Linked DNA regions of Xenopus tropicalis. The protein of the gene in region 1 interacts with the protein of each later gene in a pairwise test. Links are inferred from orthologs where the notes say so. Each region holds a gene or a part of one and is shown on either strand. Other genes may lie near its edges. The genes, in order: mcmbp and prtfdc1.

Region 1 (3,832 bases):
CTAGCTGCCGATTGGTTCCTACCCTACAGTTTCTATGTACTGATCTGTCTGGCGGGACAATCCTCGGGCACCGTAACAGCCCCAATCCCACGTGCCCCTGGGGGGGGGGGGGGGAAATGGCAGAAATTACAATACAGCCCAGAGACAAGAGATGTGACTCCTGAGCTCTCTCCATGTATCATACAGAGCTGGGAGCTTGGCTGGCCAAGTATCATTTCATTGAGTATTAGCAGCTCTGCCACTTGCAGTACCATTTGTTACCTGTTGCTAGAAGGCAAATCAGTGCCACAGTATAGCGCCACCGGCTTGGGTTTTTGCCACTGGGCCCAGCAAATCAGTTCGGACTGGACACATGAATGGATAATCTGCTGCAGCAAAAACAGCAGCTGCTGCATTTCTATAGCCAGCAGCGCAATTATCTATCTCCTGCCTGGCCACAAGGTGGCAGTAGAACACAGAACTAGAGGGGAGGAGAGAAGCGCACAGGGCAAGAATGTGCATGGTACTCTATGGCTCCCTGTGCCCCACGTTGGTTGGTGGTGCCCAAGAGGGGGTGCAAGCGCCCTGCTATGCCCAAGAGGGGGTGCAAGCGCCCCGCTATGCCCAGGAGGGGGTGCAAGGCTGGTACCTTTATGAGGCAGGCGGGCCCTTTCTCACCAGGGAGAGGGAAGTTCAGGTCCGGGGCAGAAGAGCAGCTGGAAGGCAGGTGTTGCTGAGCCCCCGCAGCTTCAGTCTCCAGGCGTTTTGGTTCACCCAATCCATGGGAAGCACGAGTGTCACCTGTGTGGGGGGAGGGGGGGGAGATGAGAGAGGAATAAATGTGCCCACGTGATGAACCAATGGGGGGGGGTGTCTATTACAGCAGTGCTACAAAGTGAAGTTCCTTACATGGAGCAGCATCCTCATCTTCCTCGTAGCTCCTCTTCTGCCGGCTGGGGGCGTAGGAGGTGGAGGCGCACACCTTGGCCTGGCTGCAGCTGGTGTAGGCGTGAATCCCACGTTAAGGGTAAACCAATCACAAACTGAAGCATGGCAGGCCAAGTATGCCGATTGGCTGGCAGTGTGTTGGCTATATATTATAGTGAATAAAGTACCCCCTATTGTAATATATAGGGATATTATAAGCCCCCGAGGGGTTCCTTATAATATATAGTGAATAAAGTACCCCCTATTGTAATATATAGGGATATTATAAGCCCCGAGGGGTTCCTTATAATATATAGTGAATAAAGTGCCCCCTATTGTAACATATAGGGATATTATAAGCCCCCGAGGAGTTCCTTATAATATATAGTGAATAAAGTACCCCCTATTGTAACATATAGGGATATTATAAGTCACAGAGGAGTTCCTTATAATATATAGTGAATAAAGTGCCCCCTATTGTAACATATAGGGATATTATAAGTCACAGAGGAGTTCCTTATAATATATAGTGAATAAAGTGCCCCCTATTGTAACATATAGGGATATTATAAGCCCGAGGGGTTCCTTATAATATATAGTGAATAAAGTACCCCCTATTGTAATATATAGGGATATTATAAGCCCCGAGGGGTTCCTTATAATATATAGTGAATAAAGTGCCCCCTATTGTAACATATAGGGATATTATAAGCCCCCGAGGAGTTCCTTATAATATATAGTGAATAAAGTACCCCCTATTGTAAACATATAGGGATATTATAAGTCACAGAGGAGTTCCTTATAATATATAGTGAATAAAGTGCCCCCTATTGTAACATATAGGGATATTATAAGTCACAGAGGAGTTCCTTATAATATATAGTGAATAAAGTGCCCCCTATTGTAACATATAGGGATATTATAAGTCACAGAGGAGTTCCTTATAATATATAGTGAATAAAGTGCCCCCTATTGTAACATATAGGGATATTATAAGTCACAGAGGAGTTCCTTATAATATATAGTGAATAAAGTGCCCCCTATTGTAACATATAGGGATATTATAAGTCACAGAGGAGTTCCTTATAATATATAGTGAATAAAGTACCCCCTATTGTAACATATAGGGATATTATAAGCCCCCGAGGAGTTCCTTATAATATATAGTGAATAAAGTGCCCCCTATTGTAACATATAGGGATATTATAAGCCCCCGAGGAGTTCCTTATAATATATAGTGAATAAAGTACCCCCTATTGTAACATAGGGATATTATAAGTCAGAGGAGTTCCTTATAATATATAGTGAATAAAGTGCCCCCTATTGTAACATATAGGGATATTATAAGTCAGAGGAGTTCCTTATAATATATAGTGAATAAAGTGCCCCCTATTGTAACATATAGGGATATTATAAGCCCCCGAGGGGTTCCTTATAATATATAGTGAATAAAGTACCCCCTATTGTAACATATAGGGATATTATAAGTCAGAGGAGTTCCATGGCCATATAAAGGGATGAGGCCGAAGGCAAAGGTCATGGAACTCCTCGGCGACTTCTAATATCTTCATATTTTACAACAGGGGGTACTTTATTAGAATACACAAGTTTTAATGAATCGTGTCACAGAAATGACATCACTAAGCTCCAGATTATATCTAATGACATCACTAAGCACCATTTATAATATAATTTACAGTTTTGGTCCCATAGGGAAATCGCCAAACTGTATATTACACATAGAAAAAGAGAAAAGGATATATCCTTCACCCACGGGCACTCCCCTGGCACGGGCACACAGTAGAAGGTCTGTCTCTCGCAGGTTACATTGCGACGGGAGTCCGGATCCACTTCCTGCTGCGGCTGCAGAGAGAATGAGCAGTGCTGCAGAATTAGACCCTCACACCCCCAGCTCCTCCCACATACACACCCCCCCAGCTCCTCCCACATACACACACCCCCAGCTCCTCCCACATACACACCCCCCCACATACACACCCCCAGCTCCTCCCACATACACACCCCCAGCTCCTCCCACATACACCCCCCCCCAGCTCCTCCCACATACACACCCCCCATATAGGATTAAACTTAAAGTGGATTAAAGGGGAAGTACCCCTCAGGTAGGTACGTTTGCACAAAGGGAAAAAGAAGGAGACTCACCAGGCTTTCTGCCACATCCCTGTATTTGCCGAAATGCAGAACCTGCAATGAGTGACAGTTCTTAGAACCAATGGCAGTAGGCGAGATGGCAAAGCTGTGCCAGGCAGTGGGGTACTTACTCTGGCGCTGGTGTTGGTATCGACCGTTTCATAGACCCCCATGTAGAACTCCGGGTCGAACATGTCCTGCACCATGCAGCGGAACCGGACCAGGCTGTTGGGCTTCAGGTAATGCAGGGGGGTGTCATTGAGGCACGGCACCTTGGGCGGCCAATGGAAACAGGGGTGAATAGGGGCAATTGGTTTCCAACAATCCTGCTGGGCACAGGGGTATCATGATTTACCCTTCTCAAAGGGGTGGTTCACTTGTAATATGTCCGAGAATGGCCAATGCTAAGCAACTTTTTAATTGGTCTTTTTTTAATATAGTTTTTAAATGATTTGCCTCCTTCTAACTCTACCAAATGGGGGTCACTGACCCCGGCAGCCACAAACTATTGCTCTGTGAGGCTCCAGTTTTATTGTTATTCATTTTCTTTGTTTAGGTTCTATCCTATATCAGTGTCTCATTCAAGCCAATGCCTGGTCGCTAAGGTAATTTGGGCCCTAGCAACTAGATGAAATTCCAAACATGGAGAGTTGCTGAACAAAAAGTGGAATATTACTCTCTACATCAGTGACCCCCAACCAGTGGCTCAGGGGGGCAACATGTAATGGTGGGCAAGGGGCCGGTGTTGCTAAAGGAAGAGCACTTACGGCAGCGG
Region 2 (3,832 bases), on another chromosome or scaffold:
TAGGCAAGCTACAAATATAGTAGTACTATTTAATAGTGTGCTTAATAGATTTTGACTTTCCTTGTCCTTTAACGTAATTTGGATCTCCTACCTTAAGGCTTCTAAAAAAATTATTTAAACCTTCAGTAATTTGAAACTTTCTGGATAAGGGGTCCGATACCTGTAGCAATAATAATAAAATTGTAGCCTCACAAAGCAATATTTTTTGACTGGCCCTCATCCGAAAAGTGAAAAAAAAGCTTAGAATTGGCAATTCTATAATATACTAAAAGTGAGCCATACCAAAAGTGAGCCACCCCTTTAAAAATTAGTTCCTCTAAAAGAAATATTTAACCTGTTTAACCTGTTCCTGACTGAGTTCCCAGCATTTATTTTCTGCTCTGGCCTGTTGGACCACACAGGGAGTGCATGGTGGCACTGACCCATACTATGCATTATAAGCCTTCAGCTCCAAGCCTTGATATGGTCTGCCCTTGCTCGTACTGGTACCAGTATGAGGCAAGTTAGCAAATCCCTAAATAGTGCGTTCATATAGTCCCTTTACAGCAGTTCCCCCTATGCCACCATTATGATCTGATCATTGGCCTGGATGGCCAGATCAGGTAAATATCTGCTCTATTGGCAACCTCATCAAACGACTGGATCTTCCATGATTTGCTACATTTAAGTCTGGGCACAGATATTGGGGCTTATTAACACTGGGTCAATTTGCCCATGGGCAGTAACCCATGGCAACCAATCAGTGAATGGATTTTTCCAGTCAGCTACAAGTAGAACAATAAATGCAACAATTTGATTGGTTGCTACAAGTTACTGCCCACGGGAAGATTTGCCCAATGTTGATAAATGAACCGTATGTATTTTGTTCTGTCTCCTGACACAAGCTTCTGTATTTATTGTGCTCAAAAACTTCTAAACAAACCCATGTTAAAACTGGACAGAAAATGGAGGCACGCAGAGTGGTCTAGTGAAGGGCTGTCCAACTGGAGGCCTGTGGGCTGGATGTGGCCCTTGGAGGGTTTTTAGGGCACTCAGTCAGCTTGAAGGCTCCATAGACTTCACTGTATGACATCATAGCTTTAATTCAATCCGGCACTCAAACATGCTGTATGAGAAATAACATTTCTGGAAAGTGCTGGTCTAGTGCAATTATGACAATTAAAGCAAACAACGTATAGTGTAATATGGATTATGATTTCCTTATTGCTTTTGAAAATGGCTAGACACCTTAGGAAATAAAAGCCCTCTGGAGAGAGCCTTGCTTAGCTACCTGGGGGATCAACTATCCAGCAGCAGGGAAAAGCTGTCACAAAGAGAGGGCAAACTTACACAGTAGCATTTCAGCCTGATGAAGTCCACTCTCATGGATATAAATCTTTCCGAGTTGCGACTCAGGTTTTTAATGTGCTCGACAAGGTCCGTACAGAACCGGTACCCTCCCTTCAGCACACACAATACTGTAATGTGGTTATCTCCAATGTCTCTCATGATATCATTAGCAATGCGCTCCGTCCTGCAAAACAGGTAAGCATTTTCATAAGACTCCCAATCCAATAGAAACCCAGAGGGGATCCAGTCATTATCAGCTGTTACATTAAGAGATTATTACTGGAAACGGTACATTGAATACTGGAAGCAGCAATAATGACCCATTATAAGAATAAGATAAAAGCACATTCCACTTACGAGTTCATGCAGGACAGAGCTCCAATGAGAGTCCCAAGAGAACACAAACAGAATGATTTTAATCATTAAACTGTAATACCGACAATAATACTGAAGAAATTAATTGGGCAGTCAGGACTCGTAGGGGTTTTTTTTCGGCAGAAAAGTATAGAAACTATTAATTATTTTTCATCACAGAAATATAAAGAGATATCTAATGTGGAACGGCTGGGGGGCACACAGGCGCGCTCCACAAATACAAGAAGCATGTATGGGTGTACAGGTGTCTTTTATGAATGTGGTTAATATGTACACAATTTTCCACCCAATGTAGCATGCTGCAGTTATGTTACTAAATGATGTTTTGGGTGCAACAACTTAGTTGTGGCATTTAAAAGCTGCAGATTACTTTCCAAACCTGGTTCACAATTACAAGGGATACTTAAGGCATTTTATTTTACTGTCAACTGGAAGATAATGATGATCCATGTCATTTATACATAGTCTAAGGGGCTGATTTACTAATCCACGAAACTGAATCCCGAATGGGAAAAAAATCGGATTGGAAACGAACATTTTGCGACTTTTTCGTAGCCGTTACGACTTGCGCAAATTGTCGTGACTTTTGCATAGCCATTATGATTTTCGTGAATTGTCGCGACTTTTGCATAGCCATTATGACTTTCGTGAATTGTCGCGACTTTTGCATAGCCATTATGACTTTCGTGAATTGTCGCAACTTTTGCATAGCCATTATGACTTTCGTGAATTGTTGCGACTTTTGCATAGCTATTATGACTTTCGTGAATTGTCGCGACTTTTGCATAGCCATTATGACTTTCGTGAATTGTCGCGACTTTTGCATAGCCATTACGACTTTCGCGAATTGTCGCGACTTTTTCATATTGAGCGCTCGAAAAAATCGCAAAATACCGATCATTACGAAAAAAACGCATTTGGACGCTTTTCGGACGTTCGTGGATTAGTACATGTGCCCCTAAATGTCAGTTGAGTTTCCACGTGTGGGATAAGCCTAAACGTGGCTATAAATGGACAGAGTTAGGCTGCTGATTCGGCCCCTTCAGATCGATTTTGCAGATAATCTGCCTCTCTATGGATACCTCTACCCGACCAATATCTGGCCAAAAAATCACAGCTGCATGTTGGCATTCATTCAAACTGCCTGCATAGAGACGGTCAAACCATTGGATCAGCCCCGTATTGCACACCAAAATGATATTCACGTGTATGGCCGGCTCTAGTCTTTTAATGTCAAATACAGTTGTTGCTAAGCCACTGGAACAGTGGCACAGGACCTCTTACTAAATGTGTGTTTGACCCTAGATATTCTGGGAACTAAGACTGACTGGCTGATGCACCAGTTGTCCAATATCTGTAAGCTTGTTAGGAACTAAGGGGGCCTGCTGACCAAATGCTGGTCCTCCATAGGTTCTTGAGCCGGACAACCAATGGTTCAAAATATATATATAAGAAAACATATCGCTCTTAAGGAAAGTAATATATATCTATATATGTGAAAAGAGGTATTAGGTTACATCTAAAAAGGGAACCCATATATACCACGGACACCCAACATTACGCAAGGAGCAATACCTGTCTACTATTACTCCATGAGGAATAAATACACATTCTAAATCTTCGCAGTAGTGATTGGGCAGTGAAAATACATCCAAGTCATATCCAGTCCAGTTATCTGGAATCTACAGAAAAAAAAGAAAAGCATATTACTATTATGAAAGTGTGTCCCTCATAGAAAAAGCAAGTAGTATGGCAGATAAATAATACACTTTAACTTGGACCTGGCTATAAGGCCAATGCGGGTGGCTGGATTCATCAATAAGTAAAGAGTAAAATAGAAACTACAGCTGTTCATGCCCTCTTAGGAAAGCTCAATGGGAAGTCCAACATCTCATACCATCTCAGGACAACACAAACTACATTTTTAGTGGAACTGCCCCTTCGTCAAGGTCCCCATTAAATTTTATACAGACAAATTTGAGAATAAAGTCATAGGGATGGGCTAAATGCTGTAGAGTTGATAGTTATTAAGTCAACACCTGCAGTAAATACTCTTTAAAGTCATATTTCCCCCATAACAGGAAATACAGGGGTGATACGTACTAGGCTCAGTTAGTATTAGTATTAT

The links.
Region 2: the proteins of mcmbp (region 1) and prtfdc1 interact in binary tests that used the Homo sapiens proteins (3 or more experiments, as listed by UniProt). The two-hybrid records come from large-scale screens. The link is inferred for Xenopus tropicalis from reciprocal best matches to the Homo sapiens genes MCMBP and PRTFDC1.

What each region holds. Positions count from the first base shown.
Region 1 is NC_030683.2:6,244,772-6,248,603, reverse strand, and holds part of mcmbp (mini-chromosome maintenance complex-binding protein), read right to left. Parts: coding exon 3,825-3,832; intron 3,384-3,824; coding exon of another isoform or gene 3,330-3,383; coding exon 3,189-3,329; intron 3,112-3,188; coding exon 3,070-3,111; intron 2,770-3,069; coding exon 2,668-2,769; intron 989-2,667; coding exon 889-988; intron 781-888; coding exon 629-780; intron 1-628. UniProt on the Homo sapiens protein: Associated component of the MCM complex that acts as a regulator of DNA replication.
Region 2 is NC_030682.2:25,731,039-25,734,870, reverse strand, and holds part of prtfdc1 (phosphoribosyltransferase domain-containing protein 1), read right to left. Parts: intron 3,387-3,832; coding exon 3,280-3,386; intron 1,514-3,279; coding exon 1,330-1,513; intron 1-1,329. UniProt on the Homo sapiens protein: Has low, barely detectable phosphoribosyltransferase activity (in vitro). Binds GMP, IMP and alpha-D-5-phosphoribosyl 1-pyrophosphate (PRPP). Is not expected to contribute to purine metabolism or GMP salvage.